Linked DNA regions of Caenorhabditis elegans. The protein of the gene in region 3 interacts with the protein of the main gene of each other region in a pairwise test. Each region holds a gene or a part of one and is shown on either strand. Other genes may lie near its edges. The genes, in order: pdr-1, ubc-13, chn-1 and ufd-2.

What was found.
Region 1: the proteins of chn-1 (region 3) and pdr-1 interact in a two-hybrid assay, tested with the Caenorhabditis elegans proteins (one study listed by BioGRID).
Region 2: the proteins of chn-1 (region 3) and ubc-13 interact in a two-hybrid assay, tested with the Caenorhabditis elegans proteins (one study listed by BioGRID).
Region 4: the proteins of chn-1 (region 3) and ufd-2 interact in a two-hybrid assay, tested with the Caenorhabditis elegans proteins (2 studies listed by BioGRID).

What each region holds. Positions count from the first base shown.
Region 1 is NC_003281.10:13,769,880-13,774,033, reverse strand, and holds pdr-1 (E3 ubiquitin-protein ligase parkin), read right to left. Parts: upstream 2,516-4,154; 5' UTR 2,504-2,515; coding exon 2,435-2,503; intron 2,390-2,434; coding exon 2,244-2,389; intron 2,154-2,243; coding exon 1,721-2,153; intron 1,675-1,720; coding exon 1,584-1,674; intron 1,305-1,583; coding exon 1,100-1,304; intron 1,047-1,099; coding exon 972-1,046; intron 926-971; coding exon 784-925; 3' UTR 690-783; downstream 1-689. Other genes in the region: mdt-29 (Mediator of RNA polymerase II transcription subunit 29), read right to left, coding at 1-78, 517-564; cyk-4 (Rac GTPase-activating protein 1), read left to right, coding at 2,811-2,916, 2,961-3,072, 3,123-3,615, 3,666-4,037.
Region 2 is NC_003282.8:2,921,921-2,927,343, reverse strand, and holds ubc-13 (Ubiquitin-conjugating enzyme E2 13), read left to right. Parts: upstream 1-1,652; 5' UTR 1,653-1,653; coding exon 1,654-1,933; intron 1,934-2,972; coding exon 2,973-3,140; intron 3,141-4,313; coding exon 4,314-4,321; 3' UTR 4,322-4,753; downstream 4,754-5,423. Other genes in the region: fbxc-45 (F-box C protein), read left to right, coding at 5,115-5,182, 5,228-5,363.
Region 3 is NC_003279.8:6,180,787-6,185,981, forward strand, and holds chn-1 (E3 ubiquitin-protein ligase CHIP), read right to left. Parts: upstream 3,071-5,195; 5' UTR 3,061-3,070; coding exon 3,002-3,060; intron 2,956-3,001; coding exon 2,865-2,955; intron 2,812-2,864; coding exon 2,743-2,811; intron 2,695-2,742; coding exon 2,596-2,694; intron 2,549-2,595; coding exon 2,342-2,548; intron 2,121-2,341; coding exon 1,908-2,120; intron 913-1,907; coding exon 850-912; 3' UTR 528-849; downstream 1-527. Other genes in the region: putative mitochondrial import inner membrane translocase subunit tin-44, read right to left, coding at 1-54; T09B4.2 (Torsin-1B), read left to right, coding at 3,301-3,621, 3,668-3,971, 4,080-4,293, 4,359-4,449; GPI mannosyltransferase pigv-1, read left to right, coding at 4,677-4,764, 4,814-4,899, 4,947-5,195.
Region 4 is NC_003280.10:8,060,944-8,066,753, reverse strand, and holds ufd-2 (Ubiquitin conjugation factor E4 ufd-2), read right to left. Parts: upstream 4,014-5,810; 5' UTR 4,003-4,013; coding exon 3,946-4,002; intron 3,904-3,945; coding exon 3,577-3,903; intron 3,532-3,576; coding exon 2,610-3,531; intron 2,560-2,609; coding exon 1,650-2,559; intron 1,602-1,649; coding exon 1,247-1,601; intron 1,195-1,246; coding exon 811-1,194; 3' UTR 561-810; downstream 1-560. Other genes in the region: pdha-1 (Pyruvate dehydrogenase E1 component subunit alpha), read right to left, coding at 1-309, 441-454; T05H10.8 (peroxiredoxin-like family protein), read right to left, coding at 5,290-5,430, 5,475-5,678. UniProt on the Caenorhabditis elegans protein: Acts as an E4 ubiquitin ligase mediating the assembly of polyubiquitin chains on substrates ubiquitinated by another E3 ubiquitin ligase. The elongation of preexisting ubiquitin chains preferentially targets ubiquitin 'Lys-29' and 'Lys-48' residues.

The DNA.
Region 1 (4,154 bases), on a different chromosome or scaffold from region 3:
ACGTTGCTGCTGCATTTGTTGTTGCTGCATTTGTTGCTGCCGCATCATTTGTTGCTGCTGTTGCTGCTGCATTAACATCTGAAATGTTTTTATTTTATAATCTTTTTATTCCTAGTTTAAAATTTGGTTATATGGTTTTAAAAAAGCTCTGAAAACGTCTTAAAATGAAACTTTAAAGGATATTTGAGTGAGAAATTTTCAAATTTCAGTTAAAAAATGCGGTGAGTTTTGTTTTCATGAAAAAGTTGTTTTTTTAATTTTCATGAAAAAAATAATTTTCAGCCCACTCCAAAACTGAGATATATCCCGAAGCTCAAGAAATGTTTCCATGTTGGTGTGATTGTACATTTTCATTAATTTTTTTTGTTCCCAAAATTAAAAAAAAGACATTTTTTGACTTCAATTGTTTTAAGGATGAAGCCGTAGAAAAGTGTGAAATTTTTCCGAAAAAGGTTGTAAAATGTGCTCAAATTCACTAAAATTTACTCTCAAGTTCAAAAGCACAAAAAATCTTACATGTTGTTGCTGCGGCGTCATACTTGGTGGAGGTCCTTGTCCTGACATGTCTATGGAGATCCCTGCGAGAAATGTGTTCTTTGAAATTTGGCAAAACATTTAAAAAAAGGTATGAAATGAGCGAAATACTCAGCAACAAAAATTGAGAAAAAGATCTAAAATTTGAAGAGAAAAAATGTCAATGTAACTTCAGACACACCGTAATTGTTGTAAAAATCTACAGAATAACACGTACAATCTCTAGAAAAGATGAATTTTAGAGAGTTATTAATTAAACCAATGGTCCCATTGACACTCTTCCTTCCATTCTGTCTTGCACTTGAAACACCAATCCATTCCACACGAGGTACAGTGAATGTGAGCACATCCGCCGTTCCGTTCGGTTGCCACGTGGCATTTTGGGCATCTTCTGGAAGAATTTACAGTTTTTTGTAGTGGATAATCGCTGAGATCACCTTGTAGTCGCGTCAATTGTAGTTCGGGTGAGATCGTCTTCGCTCTGGCACACACAATTTCTTTCGAAGCACTTTCTGAACGATGATATTTATTGCGATAAAATTTCCGATTTAGAAGCTCAAAATACCTGCAAAACGAAAAAAAACAATCTGGACACTGGGATCTTCCATCGTCATCATAGGGCTCCCAGAAGAAGCTCTGCCCACACGAGACATTCGGGCAAGTCACACCCTTGTCGTCCACGGCAATCAATCGCTCGGTGGCTTTCCGTTGGTATTCGCTGTACGACGTCTGACCCATAATGTGGAAATGGTGCACATCTTGTACCACTCCTGAAGTTATTTTTCAATTAAATGTTCTGTTTAATTTCTTTAAAACTTTTTTTTTCAATTTTCTCGGCATTGAAAAACTATTGAAACATGTGAGAAAATTTTCAAAATAAATTTAAATAGAACGGGTGGGGGTTTTTTTTGCAAAAAAAAAACCATGCCAGACTTGCAAAATGGAAACATAACATATTTGTATTTTTTGGAAGATTTTTTGTTTCTATCAATTAGTTTTCAGGATCACTACTGCAGAAAATTGAATGGTTTTGATAAAATCGAACGAACTATTGCACCCTGGATAGGGGCAGAAAATGGTGAAGCCATGCGGCGGCTGATTGACAAAACCGAATCGTTCCAGTTGACTTAGCAAATAATCCTTTAAAATTAAACAATTTCAACAAAAAATTTAGATTCTTACTCACTCTGAAACAGAATTGGCATGTAATATGATTGCATCCGAGGTCGAAGATCACTTTCTCCTTCCCATCACAAACACAGCACTCGGTCATTTGCCAATTTCCGCGTACGTGAGTTAGAGCTGCGGCCGGATCGTTGCAGGCTAGACATTTGAACTTGAATTCAGCGAAAAGACCTGGAGTACAGCATTCTTCGCAGACCGCCGGTATTCTCTTGCTTTTGAGAACGTCGGACCAGTTCTGGGGTTCAGATTTGACTAGAACAGAGGTTGACGAGCATTTTTGGCAATAAACCCGCAGTTTGCCGCGCTTGACGTCGTCACAATTTTTGCACCACACGTAGAAGCTTCCGAGAATTGAAGAATCTGTTGTTATTTTTGCAGTAGTAGCACCGTTTTCGTTGTGACTATTGAACTTTGGACGGAGAAGCATGATTTGTCTGAAATAATATTATTTGAATAACAATTCCAGTTATTTATATAAATAACAATTCCAGTTATTTATATAAGTAAATATTTACTTGACCTACGTTGCAGGTGTCAGTGACAAATCCCTCATAATCGTTGATTTTGATAACTTTTTCCCACAGAAAACCACTTCCAGCTCATCGCTGGGAATTTCGGTGAGCTTTTCCACATCTTTTGTGAGATCTTCGATATTTCCAGTTATATTTATCTGAAAAAAATAATGTATATATTCAAAGTTTGAAATGTCCACTACATTAAGTGTTAGATTCCTACGTTGACCTGTTTTTCTATCTTGTATTAATATAGAGATTTCATCAGACATGCTTCATGAGAGCTGAAAATTTGACTTAGAAATTAACAAAAAAATTTCCTGCTAGCGGGCCTGCTTGCAGTTTTAAACATTAAATTCAAAAAACTAGTCGAGGCCTTGAAGCCCCATGTTTTTGTGCACACTAGTCCTCGCAGTCATGTGCGCCCTATGGCAAGCGTAGCGGGTCGCGTCGCGTGTGAGACAAACGCAGCGAGCTTCAAATTCGAACTGTTTTCCACGAAATTTGAAACGGTTTTCACGCATTTTTCTCTTATTTTCGGGCGAGTTTCTCGTTTTCTAATCATTTCCACATTTTAGAATGAAGTCCAGTACATCAAAAGAGAAGGTGTGCGGCGAAAACTCGCGTCACATTTTCAACATGATTCTAAACTCACAGCGACCGCAATTCGATATTAAGGATATAGGTTAGTTTCAATTATCATTTTCAAATTTTAATGACGTGTTTCAGGAATGTTTCATTTGATTGATGAGATTGAGCGTCTCCGCAAGCTGTGGAAAGATTCCGAGGAATCCAAAAAGCGGCTGAATGCAGATATGAGAGAGGCCGAAGAAGCACTTGCGTAAGTGAAATATTTCATGTTTACGTGTTTAGAAAACACTATTATTTCAGAAAAGCTCGCAAGAAGCTGGCAATGTTCGATATCGATGTCAAAGACACTCAGAAACATTTACGCGCGTTGATGGAAGAAAATAAGGCGTTGAAGCTCGATCTAAACGTCTACGAGACTCGTGAAAAGCAGCTGAAAGATGCGATGAAGAACGGTATATTCAATAGTCTCACCAAGGAAGACCGCGATCAGTTCAAGTTTCTTCACGAGCCACTGGTCCGGACATACTCGAAACGGGTGCAGCAGAGGCATCCACATTTGATGGAGGACACACAGGACGATGAGGACGATAGTGAGGTGGATTACGATGAAACTGGAGACAGTTTCGAGGAAGTTATTCATTTGCGCAATGGAAGAGAGGTCAGAAGAAGCTCAGCTGCTGGAAACGCAGTTGGTGGCAAGCGGAGAAGCGCGTCAGCACATGCGATTACTGCTGCTGCCAATTCGAAGAGGAGCAGAAGCCGTGTTATGACAGCTACTATAGATGAAGAGCCGGTAAAAATTATGACATGACAGTTTTTGTTGAATTGCGTTTGTTCTTTCAGAATGAGGGTGGTACACCTCCAAAAAGATGCCGTGATGATGGTTCTACACCTCATCAAGAAATGACAACTACCACCACTACCACCACCACCACTACTATTCATAACTCTCGAGCTCAGAACCAGGACCCGCCACGTGTCTCACTTCACCGCCAGCTCACCCGCAGGAGCTTGAGCTGTGGAAGTATTCCATCATGCGATCAAACACCAGGACAAACCACAAATAACATCGGCCTCGGCATGTCGTCCGCCATTCTCACCAAAAGCACACTTGATATCCGAACCCTGAAACGTGGCACGCCGGCGTGGACTAATGGAACAACTCGTGACATCGCAATGAGACCACACACGTTTATAGAGGCAGGAATCAAAGCGGTACGTGTAAAAAATGCTAACAAATTTCTTTAAAGTGAGCTCTGTAGTGATGAAAATCATGCTAATCATGAAGAGGCGCGTCCGTCTCGGACCCCATGTTGCAAACATCTATTTCTG
Region 2 (5,423 bases), on a different chromosome or scaffold from region 3:
CAAAAACCAATTTTATCGATTTCGAAACGTTATTATTGATGGAAAATACGTAAAAATGGAAAATAATACCCATTTTCAGCTTTTTCAACGCCGAAAAATCAATTTTCGGCGATATTTTCTACTAAAATTACCGAAAAATGTGATTTTTCCGCAAAAATATGCGATTTCATAACAGTTTTCGTTGGGAAATGCACAGAAATCCAATTTTTCTAAAAATTTCGCAAAGGAATTGATTTTTTACTTAAATTACCGTTAAATTTATACATTTTTAGTATAAAAATTAAGATTTCGCGTGGATAACGAGAATTTACAGCGTTTTTTTGCTGAAAATATCGATTTTCTCGAATTTAGCGTTTTCAAAATGCTCAAAACGTCGAAAATTCAGTTTTTGGCATTATTTTTGATGGAAAATACGTCAAAAATGCCAATTTTCACTCTGAAATGCACATAAATCCTATTTTTTCGAAATTTCACTGTTGAATTGATTTTTTCACTCAAACTACCGGTGAATTTACATATTTTCAGATGAAAAACTGAAAGCTCCCGTAGAAAACGCGTCTTTTTCAACATTTTGGTGCTGAAAATATCGATTTTCCGCAAAAATAACGAATTCGTAATGCCAAAAACGTCAAAAATACACATTTTTGCGTTTATTTTTGATTAAAATTACTCCAAAATGTCAGTTTTCTGCAAAAATATGCGATTTCATCACTGTTTTCCATGGAAACTGCACAAAAATCCAATTTTGCCATTATTTTGCACCGAAATCGATTTTTTTCTCCAAAAAAATTATTCGAAATCGTGAAAAGCGAGCGTTTTTTAATGTTGGAAATCACAAAAAACCCAATTTTATCGATTTTTGGCCGACGTTTACGTTGAAAACTCGAGGAAAACAGTTTTTTAATTGAAAAATTCATAGTTTCCCGCAGAAAATTAGATATTTTAACTTTTTGTACTAAAAAAAATGGCATTTTTCCGATATTTCGAGAAAAACTTCGATTTTTAATTAAAAAACCTTGAATTATTAGTCTTTTTTCTTTTATTTCAGCCAAAATTTATACATTTATACATTTTTTTCTTCAGTTTTCACCATTTTGCACTCAAAAATCCGTCTAATTGTTGAATTTTTAACAGAAAAACAGTTTTTCGCTGGGAAAAGCTCTAAAATCACTCAAAAACCATCAAATTTATTCCACTTTTCCATGGAAACTGCACAAAAATCCAATTTTGCTATTATTTTGCACCAAAATCGATTTTTTTTTCCAAAAAAATTATTCCAAATCGCTAAAAACGAGCATTTTTTTGGTTGGAAATGCCAAAAACACAATTTTATCGATTTTTGGCCGATGTTTACGTTGAAAATTCGAGGAAAACAGTTTTTTAAAGTAAAAATTCATAGTTTCCCCTAGGAAATTAGATATTTTAACTTTTTTTTTGCGGAAAATGGCCCTTTTCCGATATTTCGAGAAAAAACTTTGATTTTTAATTAAAAAACCTTGAATTATTAGTCTTTTTTCTTTTATTTCAGCCAAAATTTATACATTTATATATATTTTTTTATTCAGTTTTCACCATTTTGCACTCAAAAATCCGTTTTTCTAATAGAAAAATCAGCTTAAAAGCCCCAAAACACACAATAAAATTTCTTGCAGAATGGCCGGGCAACTTCCGCGTCGAATCATCAAAGAGACACAACGACTTCTCGCGGATCCGGTTCCCGGAATATCGGCAAATCCAGACGAGAGCAACGCCAGATACTTCCATGTCATGATAGCCGGGCCAGACGATTCTCCATTTGCTGGTGGTGTCTTCAAGTTGGAGCTTTTCCTTCCGGAAGAGTATCCGATGGCTGCACCGAAAGTTCGATTCATGACAAAGATCTATCATCCGAATATTGATAAACTCGGCAGAATTTGTCTCGATATTCTCAAGGGTGAATAGATTTTCCCCTTTTTTTGAAAAATTAGTGAAAAAATTTTTTAAAAAACGGTTTTTAGCGTTTTAATCAATTATTTTTAGAGAATTTTCTGAATTTTCATCGAAATTTGCTATTTTTACACTGTTTTAACACAAATTTATTGATAAAATTCAGAAATCTAGCTTTTTTGGATATTTTTACTTGAAATTTTTCGAAAAACAGCCCATTTTCAACAATATTCACGAGTTTAGATGAATTTTTTGTATTTTTTAATATTTAAATCAAATTTAGCTCTTTTTGAGCGTATAAATCCGAATTTCATGCTCATTTTTCGCATAATGAGAAAATAATCCAAAAAATATGAATTTTTACGCATTTTAATGGGAAAAATGGATCAAAAACAGCTTATTTTGAGCGTTTTTTGACAAAATAGACGAAATTTCGAGAAAAATCGTGTTTTTTTTTGTTCTAATAAATATATTTAGGTGCATTCGAATGCGAATTTCTCGAAATTTAATTTTAAAAAACCCTCTTTTTGTGAAATTTTTTTCAAAGAAACTGCGAAAATGTATCATTTTTGCGCATTTTTAACCAAATTTCATCGAAAATCTCGGAAAACGGCGTTTTTTTGGCAATTTTTATTCAAAATTGCGAAAATTTCGGCGAACCCCCAGTTTTCGAGGGACATTTTCAATTTATGATCGAAATTAGCTATTTTTAATCATTCTAAAGCGAATTTCTTGTTAAAATTGCTGAAAAATCTGATTTTTTAGTAATTTCAATGGAGAGATAGTAAAATTCGATTTTTAATTACAAATTTCGTGTAATTTCTTCGAAAACTTCTTTATTTTTGCGCATTTTTTCCAATTTTTATCGAAAAATTACTCCAAAAGAAAGCATTTCGATAGATATATCTCATTTTTTGCGCATTTTAATCAAATTATCCATAGAAAAGTTCAATTTTTCGGCTATTTTAATGCGAATTATCTCGAAAAACTGCTCATTTTGAGCTTTTTCACATGAATTTCTCGAAAAAAAATGCCCAATTTTTCAGATAAATGGTCGCCGGCTCTTCAAATTCGCACGGTTCTTCTGTCGATTCAGGCTCTTCTTTCGGCTCCAAATCCGGAAGATCCACTGGCAACTGATGTCGCCGAGCAATGGAAAACGAATGAGGCCGAGGCGATTAAGACTGCAAAACAATGGACGATGAACTATGCTCGTCAGTAATATATCTAGGGTCTCGCCACGAAATCGATGAAAATTTGCAATTCTTTTGAAGCCAAAATCGAAAATTCGACCTCATGTCGATTTACGCCGATCGTGTACTCCCCGAGGAGAAGTTGGAATGATTTTTATACAGTTTTTGACCTTTTTAACATTAAAACTATCAAAAAATGGCTCGTAAATCCGATTTCCAGCCGAAAACTGCTTTTACGCCACTAAAAATATCGATTTTCACGGAAAACACTGTAATTTACGGCTAAATTTGCTATATTTAAGTAAAATTTCAGGAAAAGTCGACGAAAACGGCGAAAAACAATACTTTTAGCGCAATTATGGAGCCAAAATCGAAAAATCGAACTAAAAATCCCTGAAATTGGCGCATGTCGATTTACGTCAACTCGTGTACTCCCCGAGGAGAAGTGGGGGTGAAAAAAACGGGTTTTAAGGTGAAAATTATTGATTTTGGCCTATTTTTTCTAATTTGAACGTTTAAATCATCAATTTTTGCTCGGAATTATAGCTTTTTTGATAAATTTTTATTTTCGAATTTTTTTTAGTTTTTCAACCTTTAAAAAATCGAAAATAAAAATTTATCAGAAACACTATAATTTAGACCTAAATTGGTGATTTAAAGATTCAAATCAGGAAAAAATAGGCCAACATCAACAATTTTCGCCTCAAAATCCATGTGCTTCACCCCTCTTCTCCGCGGGGAGTACACGAGCTGCGTAAATCGACATGTGCCAATTTCGGAGGTTTCTAGTTCGATTTTTCGATTTTTGCTCCAAAATTGCGCTAAAATGATTGATTTTGGACCGTTTTCGCATCGACTTTTCCACAAATTTTACATAACTATAACAACTTTAGCGCTAAATTCCAGTTTTTCAGTGAAAATCGAAGTATTTAGTGTCTTAAAAGCAGTTTTCAGCTGGAAATTGAATTTATGAGCCATTTTTTTGGTAGTTTTAATGTTAAAAAACTGTATAAAAATCATTCCCACTTCTCCTCGAGGAGTACACGGGCTGCGTAAATCGACCCTTCGAATTTTCGATTTCGGCTCTGAAAACAGTAGATTTTCCTAGTTTTCGCTGTGGGACCCAACAATAAATATGCATTTTAATAAATTTTTTTTAACAATTTAAAAAATAAATTAATAATTTTTTTTCAGAAGCCTGATCGTCTCCGAAGCTCGCCTCTAGAACAACTACAAAAAATCACATCAAACAAAAAAAAATTCGAAATTCTCTCAGCCTGCTCTTTGTCCCGCCTTTTCCCGCCCCCTTACGAACTTCCAATAAATTGTATGAATTGCATAAAAATCTCGATTTTCCCCATCTTCTACTATATATCTAAATATTGATTTTTTTTGTCCCCGCCCGGTTTTTTGTCTCGAAATTCTACAATTTCCTCCCCATCCCATTGAATTTTTTAAAAAATTTTTTTGTCTCTGTTGTCTCACGATCCTCATCAAACCGTCGTCGTCCATTTAATTTAAATTCTTCTTTTTTTCTCCCAGTTTCCAGAAAATCTTCTTCCATCGAAATTGATTTTTTTTTCTCTTTTGGAAATTTTGATGATTTTTTGAATAAAGTCGTTATTTTTTTTGAGAATTTTTGAGAAATTTTTGAAGGCATTTCCAGCAGTAGCCTGATGGTTTTCAACCGGAAAAAATGCAAGAATAAATAGAAGAATAAATAGTAGATATTGTGATAGAAATTTTAAAAACTGGAAACTGCCTGAATCGCCGATTGCCGAAAGTGAGAAATGCCGAAAAAATGCACGCTGATATTACTGTAAATTTAAAGGGACACACAGTATCTTGTTGCATGGGTTTCATCGCGATGTGTTCAACTGTAGCTTTTTGATTTTTCTTTCGATTTTTCGAATTTTAACTGTGTTTTTTCATGTTTTTCTTGCGAAATTTGAAGCAATTACCGATAAAAAATTTTTAATTCAGATTTCTGCAAACATGGACTCGAAGCCACTCACCTATCTATCCATGCAGTGCATTATCAAACACTTGGAGGCGAATAAAAGGTGAGACAAACAGTTTCTGTAATTAACTAAATACATAATTCTCAGATTCCGACTGGCCGCACAATGCCCATCTCTTGTAAAGATCGAAAAATCGCAACCTCTGATTATCAAGAAGCTGGAATTCAATCGTAGTACAATCTCTGTCAATGGAGTGAAATACAAACTTGGTGCTAGGAACAATGTATGAATTTTTGCCATTCTAGACGAGGGTGTCGGTTTTAAGTATTTTACTAAATTCTTT
Region 3 (5,195 bases):
TTGAAGTCTTGTCCGAGTTAATCGTATCCCGTTTCCACAAATTCGTGACAACATCTGAAGAATAATTTTTCACATTATAAGTTCAATAAAGAAGAGGCAAGAATGGAACTTGTGCGGGAAATATTCAAATAATAAATTTAATTAATTAATTTCGGTTTAATTATAATTTCTTCTGAACCATTGAAAGCTTTTCAGATCTAAACATCAAGGATTTTTAAACAGTTATTCTAAAACTCTGCAAACAAAAATAATAATGCCCGGAGAATGAAAATAACCATTTTTTGTGAACAAAAATTCTTTTTTGCATTTTATTTCAACAAATTTTCGAACAGAATTCAGCTTAAACAGCTTCGAAATTGAAAAAACGGAAAAAAATGCCGTCTAAATTTCACAACGACACTCCGCAATCCCGCACTCCCAGTGATGCAATTTTGAAAACTTCCCGATTTTATTTATTTTATTTACAAAGTCACGTAGATAGTAGGTTATAGACCTTCCTATTGGTATAAAAAAAATTGTAAAATGAAAAGAAAAGCATCACACCTCTTTATTTCATACAATATTTACAGAATCTCACTTTTAGCAGTAAAATTGAGAACTAAGCGACAAGTTGAAGTGCACTTTCTACCAGAAATTCAATGGAATTTTGAAAGAAAACTAAAGCTAAAAAATACACCAAGATACAAATACCGGTAGAACAGAAAAGGAGGGTACAGCGTTCAAACAATAAAAGTTTAAAAATCCGAAAAAAAAATGCAAAGAACTGAAACATGTAGAAAAGTGAAGAAGTTGCATTGAGAAGCAGCCAGGAATGTTTAATGTTGAATTTTTCAATATTCTGAATAGTATTTAAACCATGCCTCCGGGTTCATATTTAGCCCATGGGTTGTCGTCAAGAAACTTTTCAATAACCTGAAAATCATTAGAAATTAACTGAATTTATTACAGGGTGGGCCAAAAGTATGGTAACACATGAAGCGCTCTTTTACATGAGCTTTTCGCGTGACTGCCACGTCATACGTACATTCTTCTATCGAATACTGATAGCTGAATAAATTTCCTTCAATTTGACTCAAAATTTGTAATGTTTCCCAATAAGGTGCGATCTTTATCACCTCGACAATTTGGCGAACCCTTTCGAAAAAACGGTAATTTGGCACGCGGCACTTCCCACACAAACACACCTCCCATGCACGCCAATAATTTTCAGATGTATGATTTTTATGTTAAATTTAAAGTTAAAGAAGTGAAGAAGCGTTTTTAATTGTTTTTGTGGCATATAAAAATTTTCTGTGTCGACACTGGCGCCTAGCAAGAACCTTTGAATATTTCATGAATTCAACTTTGCGAAATTTACTCAGTTTTTTTGGTTTCGCAAGGCGTAACGTCCCACAAAATCATCCGAGCTCAATTTTCTAAAAAAATTCTGGAAAGTCAGGTCAAAACGTCTCGAAAAATACTAAAATGAATTTTTCTGCATACTGCTACTCGCCGCTCACATCCATCTTTCTGGCGACTATGCCATTCAAGACTTAACCTACTGCCGCAGTCCATGACAGAAATACCGTGATAGAAATTATTTGGATTTTTGTTTTTATAGAATCTCTAGACCAAGAGCATTCTTTGAACTATAAAAACTTGTAAGGCACTTGATGGATTCCTCGAGAAAAATGTAGAAATCCCGCAGAATGCCGACTTGCGTGCCATAAAGGTCGTGATCTCAAAAGTTCTGAAGGCCTGCAGCGATGCGGATGGGAATATTTTGAAAATTCAAAACGTTCATCTGGTCAGTATTTTATGGAGAACAAAACTTGTAACAATTGATGTAGTAACTCTTTCCACTAGTAAAGTTATAGAGCTGCAAACGTGTTACCATACTTTTGGCCCACCCTGTATAAATTTCCAACCTCTTTCAGTGCATAATTCGGAATAATTTCATTTTCGGTAAGTGGTTTTCTTGTGACTGGATCGAAATGGCCAATTCTTCTCAAATGCTGCACAATTTCTTCTCGGTCATACGTGATTCCAGATGGAACTATCACCGGCTCTTTCATCAGTTCCAGTGTAATTTTGCCGCAGAGCATCTCAGGAACCTCCCTGTTTTGCCGTTTTTCTTGTGTCTAAAAAATGATATTTTGATTCTCTTTGATCTCTCGTGATTTAGGAAATATTACACTCACGATAGTTTAGTATGCTTAATTCTGAAAGTATATTTTGAACCGGTTGAAAAAAGTTGGCAGGATTCGGAAACTCGTTTGGTTCGAATTAGAAACGCTTAGATATAAGAATTTGGGAATAGTATTACTAAAGTTTCAAAAAACTTTCAAGAAAAAGTATTTACCGCTAAAGTGAGTTCGGTTAGACGTTTTTTAGCCATATCTGCTCTTTGCAACTCCTCTGGGTTTTCAGAATTTTCTTGACGATCCTTTTCGATCAAGCTCTCCAAATACGTGTGAAATTCAACGTCTTGTACAATTCGCTTTGACTCCTCCTCCTCGTACTTTTGATGGCGTGCCCGTTTGAGGGCGTTCTCAATATCTGGAGCGTTCTGAAACCACAATTCCGTTTTAATAAACGCCGTTCAAAAATTTCTACCGTGATAACAGCATTATGGTAGAGCGCTTTGGAGAGACAGCTTATTGCTTCACTGTACTTTTTGCTCTGTAGAAATACATTTCCCAAGAAGTATAAAGGCTGAAAATGAATTGAATAACTAATTAACTTCAAGAGTTGAAAGCTTACTTTCACTTCGTTTGGGCTCAGTTCCAGTGCCCGTTTGCAGTCTTCTTCAGTCATCTTGAGGTTGTTAAGCTAGAATATATATTACAAAAGTTAAAGAAAAGTTTTAATCGAAGTATAAATACCTGAAAGTAACACATTGCTCTGTTCTGATAGTATTTCGGCAGAGGATTTACTTTGATGGCTTTCGAATAGTGATCAACGGCATCGTCATATCTGAAAGTTCAAAGACATGGGATTTATTACACATAAATGAAAATACCTTTTATTCATATAACACTTTTTGCCATTAGTATTATGTTGTTCGGCGCCGCTTGACATGCTGCAAACGCTGAAAATAAGCGGAAATTGTTCTAAAAATCGATTTTGAAAAGCATGATGCGGATAGAGTTGCGCGTAAGCTCTGACGCATTGTGTGCAAATTAAGCTTGCGGTGTTTGCGGTGTACTCGCTCCAAGCCAAAATTTGTTTTTTGCCGCAATTTTTTATATTTATGTTTTTTTTTAACAGTTTAATTTTTTTTTTTCAAATTCTGCTCCAATTTTCGTTTTAGTTCAGGGTATGGTGCAAACCAGAAAATCATATGGAACTCCATCCAATTACATACCAACATCGAATAAACGTAGGAGTCTCGATAGTTCATCAAGGCTTTATCCTGATCTAACTGAACAAATAAGTAATGCAAGAACCGAAAAGACTAGCGAGCAACAAGATGAAAATGATTTCACAGATGCGGATTTGAGTTTCAGTAGCTCACATGGATCAGAAGAATCCGATGTGTCATGTAACGAAGTGAATGAAAAATGGAAATACTGGACTGTTATTGGAATAGTTTTCATTGCGATTGTTGTGGGAGCATTGATTAAAGGAAGCAAAGTTACGGTTGGTAAAACTACACGCGGTATCGGAATAATTAACAATTTTCTAGACTAACGAATCGTATGAAAGTTACATCAAATCAGTCCGATCTGTCATCAAGAACGAGTTTCCTACAATTTCGAAAGAAAATCGGGATCTCTTAAGACTAATCGGGCAGAAAATCTATTTGGAACCAGAAAATCATGCTCCGTTGGTTGTTCTTGTTGGGGGAACACCGGCCAAACAAATTGCCGAAGCTGTGAATCGAGCTGTTCAAGATGCTAAAAGTGATGAGCATACTACGGCAGGAAAATCATCAATTAGAGTGGAAAGTGACACTGATAGAGCCGAGTTGCATGCGAATTTGCAGGAAAGTGAGTGATTTCAGAACCTCATAATATTTTATGTTTAAATAACTTTTTAACATCTCCAAAGTAATGTGAAAATTCGCTGAATTTTGAAAATATAATGCATTATTTCAGTCCTCGGACCCGCTCTTATTTCACAATCATCACCTCGAACAGCTGTGATTTTGGATGTAGACCTGCTAAAATGGGATGCAGTTCTTGTTCTTCATGCGTTCTCAGATCACGGAAAATATCCAGTTCCCAAAACAATACTTTTTCTGACTGTTTCTTCACAACAAGATTCAACGATGGACATTGCCAACACAAGTTGTGATGAGAAAATGGTCCAGTAAGTGGTTTTTGTAGATCAAAATAGTTAAGAAATTTTTTGATCTACAATTTTCGCACTTACAGATTTCTAACGAAACGCTGGATTGAGAACGGCGGCTCTTCAGACAACATTCCACCGATTATTGCACGAATTTCTTATTTTTTATGTGTTTAAAATTTTGCCGGTACATTACCTTCATTTTTCACGGGTTTTTATTTTTTAATTCTGTAATTTAATCCAAGGTTTTACAAGATCAGCTAAATAGTTCAAGGAATTCTGTGTTCATTGAATAAAAATAGTAAAAGTTTTACATGTTCGTATAAATCTCGTATATTCGCTTTAAAAATGCTGTCACTATTTTATTTTTTTATTGATCTGTTTTCTAAAATGATTAATACAGGATGCGTAGACGTGAGCCTGGGAGAGATGTTAAACGTGCAGCTGAGGAAGAATTTATCGAGTTAGAGAGACGTACGGATACGTACGAAGGTGAGAAAACGCAGGTTTTTTTAGCAAATTATAACTTCCTAATTTTTAGATGCCGTTCTCAACGAAGATCCACAGATGAAGGGATTCAGGTTTCCAAGCATCTTGTCGTTCCCGGTACCAAACAAGACTATTGAGGTTTTGTTATCAATTATCATCTAATATTTAAAAATGTTATTTTTCAGACTGGTGTTACAGACGAGAATCCATTCTCTGCGAGGAAATCCGCGTTTTTCACAAATCGACTGATTGGAAGAGAGGAGAGCGATTCATCATCTTCCAGAGAAGACTCTCCTCTTGGTTCCACGGAAACTGGAGAATCTTGTTCCACTACTGACGATGAAGAATCAAAGGAGAAAAGGATAGAGTACCGTGATTCCCAAACGCAGCGGTGTCTTGGATTCTGTTTTCGACAGTTATTTTTCTCTCGGATG
Region 4 (5,810 bases), on a different chromosome or scaffold from region 3:
TGACCAGAGTAGAGATGACAGAAACCGCGGATTTTCTTCTCCTTGTACAAGTTTCCAGCAGCAGACTCCATGCGACGAATGACCTGCATGTCACGGTAGTACTTGAGAGCATCTTCTCTGTTCAAGGTGACAGAGGTGTTTGGTCCATTGTCAAGTTTATGAAGTTTGCATGGCTTTGTGTGGAATGATACTTCCGTGCTCGCAAGACGAACTTGCTGTGTGCGGATTCCACTGGCAGTCAAGGATTGAAGTTGTCTCGCGAATAAAGACATTGCCGTCGACCAAATACGTTCCAGATGTACCAAGCTACTGAAAGCAGTAAATATATTTCAAAAATAAAAATTAATCGGATTTGGGATGACTGGGAACGTATAAATATTATAAGTTATTGACATGTAACAAATCACAAAACAATACGACACCGTTCGTTATAAACCTACAGAAATTTAGTCATTCCAGGTTCAAGGCTAAAATCAGAATATGTGAAGAAATTCACAAAGAATAAAAATATAAGTATGCGGATCGGAGACCGCAATAGAAGCCAAAATTTAGAAAATAAGTAAATTAGTATAAATTTATTCACATTCAAGGCACTACTCGTGTTTTTTAGGTTTGATGAAAGAGGGCAAGAATACCAACTTTAAGGAATCCATGCAGAAAATGAAACCGAAACCGAAAGATTAGACCATTGAGAGACCAGAAAAACTTATAAAATGAAAGGAACGCGTGAAATTTACAGACATTTTGCACATGTGCAATGGTCAAGTACAATAAATACAAAATTGGGTAACAATAGAATATGATAGAAAATTATTTCTTTGAATTTCTTTTCTGGCAAATCCATTCCTGAATCTTTGCCTTCAACTCAGAATCGGGAGAAAGCTCATTGTGCGACAAGGGAGCACGATTAAACGGATTATTGGGTGTACTGAGAAGATGCCTCTCGATGACTGCACGATCCATCACGTGTCCTGATGGCAATTTGACAGGATCAACCATAATTGCATCCATAATAGGATCCTTGAACTCTTCTGGTACATCATCATACTCTTCTTCAAGCTCAGCTTTTGCCTCATACTCTTTTTTAACATCTTCGGCCAAATGTTCGAAACTTTCGAGTTGACTGAATCCAACAATACTATTCTTTCTCATGCATTCAATCGCATTATGGAAGAATTCAGGACTGTAGGTACGCTGAAAAATAATTAAAATAAATCTCTTTGAATAAACAAATGTGTTAACCAACCTCGTCGTATGCTATGTATTTAACAAATGCAGGCATATTCAGCTTTAAATAGATTGAGATCAGCAACGATACAAACTCCCGTGGTTCCCATCCATAACTTCTTGGATCCTTGACTTTCAACTCGGAGGCCTTGCTACCAATGAGTTGCGATAAATTGTGATTCAACATTGCAGCAAGTCTTTCGCCGAGAACCGGAGTACGGAAAGGTTCGGGTGAGTTTACGGTAATCGATAGTAGCAATTTAAGATTACTTTTGGCTGTTCCAAGCCATCCCTTCACTTTACGTTTTGCCTCCTCGTACACGCCGAGATCCTGATTACGGATTTCTTGATCTGTGTTGTCCCATTCGACTTTGCTGAAAATAAAATTTATATTTTTAAGTTATCATTCGAAATAGTCTTACTTCGCCATCTTTTTCTCAACATCATGGATACTCTTCAAACCAGACAAGCTCTCATCTATACACCATGTTGCATCGTTAATCACCATATTGACAAACCGAATGAACTCTGCTCCGCATTCTCTTGCCATGTCCATAAACTTTCCTTTGTAGAACATATCTTCCTCCATTTTTTCCAACATGTACTGGATATTTCCACGAACGTTAAACTTTTCATAAAAGTCACCATTGTCTTCGAAATCCGAGTAGAACTTTATCATGCACATCAATAAATTTTCTTGTGCCATTCGAAGTCTGACCACGTTGAACCATAATGGAGGTTGAATAGAAGACAGCACTCTCACCAGTTTGGAAACGAGAAATGGGCTTTTGATGTAGTGATATTGTGTGAAAAGGACCGTCAGACGGGAAATCCAATCCGCATTTCTCTCCATGAGCAGTTTCATTCCATTGGAAATAGCGAATATGTAAAAATCGAGAGCATCCTCTAGAAAATATTCTGGGAGCGCACAAAACATTTGTGATACTTCAGTTGGAAGTTGACTGTCGTCTCCGAGCAAATCCAAGTTATCACAAAGCAAATTCAAAATGAATTTCATCTGCTTATCGACAAAATCCATAGAAGATGCCATTAATGCAGGATCTTGAGCTTGTGTCTTAACACATAAAAGATGACGAGACATGAGCTTCCAGTGTTCAGTCTCATAGTTCAACTTCTTTTCCACCTCAGCTCTCTCGAATCCTGACACAGTATTTAGTTTTTCTTTGAGCGCATTGATCTTATGCTTGAGCTCCTTAAGGTGTCGAGAGTATTCACTTATTTGATTCATCAATGGAGGAATAACGAGCCTCTGTGCTGCAATTGTCAGGAAGAAGCAGACTGTAGAGAAATGATATTCATCTGGACGATCTGCTGGAAAAAGAAAACAAGTTAATTTTTTGAGAAAGAAAAATGAAACTTACCGAATTGGCTAGCAAAAGCGACTGCTCCTGATTCGTCCATTTTGAGACGAGTCTCCTTGGAAATATTTATAAGCGAACTCGGTAAAAACGGATAATCTACGATAATTTTGGACAAGTCGATTTTCTCGGAAAACATGTACATCACGGACAAAAAATTTGTCATATAATGATCACACAAGACATCTGAAGGATCATAATGTGAACGAGTGCGAATGTCATTGGTGCTTATGATGGTGGCAATCCATCTTAGAGTTTTGTTGCGACTTCCTTGATCCGAAGCAAGCGGAAGCATCAATTGATGAAGCATAGTTCGAATTGGATCCATTCTTTGGAAATACAGTTTCTGCTCAGTGTTGACTGATCCATCATATTTTCTTGCATCTTCTTCACAATCCACAAAAACTCGATGATTTGGACGCCTTGCTGATGATTCGAGGCCGTACGAAAAGAACGGTCCTAGGAAGGACATTAAACCAAACTCGCGTCCTTGTATTTTTTCGGACGGCGTTGGGAGAAAATCTTCTCGATTAACAAGTAGGTTACTCAGTGGGCGAGGTCCGTTTGAAGGGAGTCTGATACTGAGAAGCAAGTTCATCACACGAAGGATCTGACGAACAATTTCGTCCTTATTGTCTTCAAAGCGTTGACAAATAATTCCGCTCCGCAAAATCCCGAAAATTGGATTAAATGTTTCTGTAATAGCGTCTTCATCGCATTCATCTGTACTTGCAAGGTATTCAACCAATGTTCTTAGAAAAACATTTGACACCGTATCCTCCAGAAGTCTTTTTGTGAACACCAAACTAGCATGTTGGCTGCGAAGTTGGCTCTCCAAGTAGCCTCTCTGTATCATCACAAAAACTGAGAAAACTGCTTTCCTGGTAGATTCGAGAGTTTTCTTGTAGCAATTTGAAGTACCGCTCTGAAAATTGTTAAATTAAAAATAGAACTATATTAGATAGAGTACCTTTCCAAGCTCATGATGGCAACGAACAAAATTGATTAAGAGAAACTCGATGGCGTCTTCTTCACGACATCCAGCAATGATATCAGGGTCGATGAAATTGAACGATCTTGACAGCCCCCTTCTTGATCCATCTTGAGATAAAAGTACAAACTTTGTGATTATTTCGGCAATGTTCGATTGCAGACACTGAGGAGAAACATCAAAATTCAGATTTTGAACATCGATTATCGCATCGGCGTAACGAAGCATTCTGTCATCTGATTTACCTTCACAGTCAAAGAGACTTGTGAGGAAGTCTTTGCTTTCAACATCTGCCTGAAAAAAGAACTAATCGCCTATGAGTATATAAAATGTCAGGCAAAAACGCACCACAGAAGCATCACTTATGTCCATCGGCTGCAAGCCTGCTTTCTCGTCTTCAATCATCTACGATTTCTGGAAATTCGTGATGATCACGTGATTTTGATAAGTAGAGTAACGATAAAGAGAATGGTGAGAGGTCTGATAACAAATATTTTACGGTAATGGGAACATTTATGAGACGGAAAAATTAAACGCAGAGGATTGTATGAAAACAATATTGGACTAGAATTGTGTATAGAGGAAAACATAAAATTATTTTCGAGAGCAAAAACTGTAGGAAGACATTTGCACCGCGCGCGCAAGAGATAGAAAAATCGAAGGAGCAATGCAGCTGCAAAGACGCTGACATTTCGGCCTCTCAATGAACATGCAGTGGAGCGCGTTTGCTGCACTACCGAGACACCACATTTTTGCAGGAGAGAAACATCGGTAGAAAACTGAATTCGGAAGAACGAGTGTTAAATATTGTATCTTTATGATTCTATTTTCAGACACCACTTAATTTGAATATTTTTAGAGCAATAAGAATTTGAAGGGGCAGATAAATTAAGCAACAAAAAAGTATATAAATGAACGAGACTGTGGATGGAACGCACATTTTTGATTTTACAAAATTTTATTCTTTAATAAATATTGTTTTTTTTAAACGAGAATAAACCTCACTTTCAATAAAAATCGTTTAGTTAACTATAGTTTCAAGAGGAAAACAGTAGCGCAACTCAACAATCGATTGTGTACAATTGAGACCCGAGGGACGTCATTGTGAGACTCACCCAATTCTAGACATTTATAGGCGGGTACCTGGTCCACCAGCAGATGTCCTTCAATACGATAAAAAATCAATCAATACACACGTTTGTTGCTACTCTGATGCAATCGTAAATATTCCGGGATATGGCCAGGGTACTGTAGGATTACCGTGGATTATTGTACTTTTAGAAAACTATTGAAACGATCAAAAAAATTCATATGGCCATATATGGTTTGCCTTGAAACTTCTATGTAATAGTGTTGTGTTTTATTCTTCAGATGATAGATTTTTAAATTGATTGAAAATTGAAAATAAATTGAACTTTTTTATTCCAAGAATACAGTAAAAGTTTAATAAACGAGTCTGAAAATCTTCAACCAAAAGAAATCAAAGCATCCGAACATCTTTTTTCACTGTAAAATAACAACCACATTAAATTCGAGTGTTTTTTTTTTGGAAGTTCCACATTGGAACAAATTGAAAATAAATTAATGTTTATGTTATTTCATAGTTAAATAATCTAATATTAAAATAATGAATTAATAATGAGATCAGCCAAGATAACATGTATGGTTTTAATGTAAATGTAGTCTAGATATTTAACTAATTACGCAACACGGTTTCTTTTTGTCCGTCGCCAGTTCCTTTGTTACAGAAATTTCCGAATTCACTTTTGCCAGATTTCCACCTTTCGGAATTGATATTGTAGAATTATTAGTGCTCTCCAAGTATTTGGCGTTCTGGAGAAGTTTGTTAAGAGAGTTTTAAAAATAAAAAAGCATACCCTTGCTTCAACCAGTTTTACTATTTCATCAATATCTGGCCATGAATCTGATTTATCGTCTTCAATGTGCTTGTAAAGAATTTCTCCTGATTTATCCACAAGTACAGTACCACCTTTTTGAGAAATGTAAGAAACTGAGTCTTCTGAGCTTGATGCTTCTTTCGCAACAATTGAATCTCCTTCGACGAGAGAGGCTTCCACAACCTGAAAATTTCCAATTTATACACAATGATTGCTTATCCTTCCCACGTTGCAATTTGATATCAACTTTTTTGCTCAACGTTCGCCAAAGAATAAAAATTTGTTTGAATTTCCGACAAACTGTTACTTTCAACA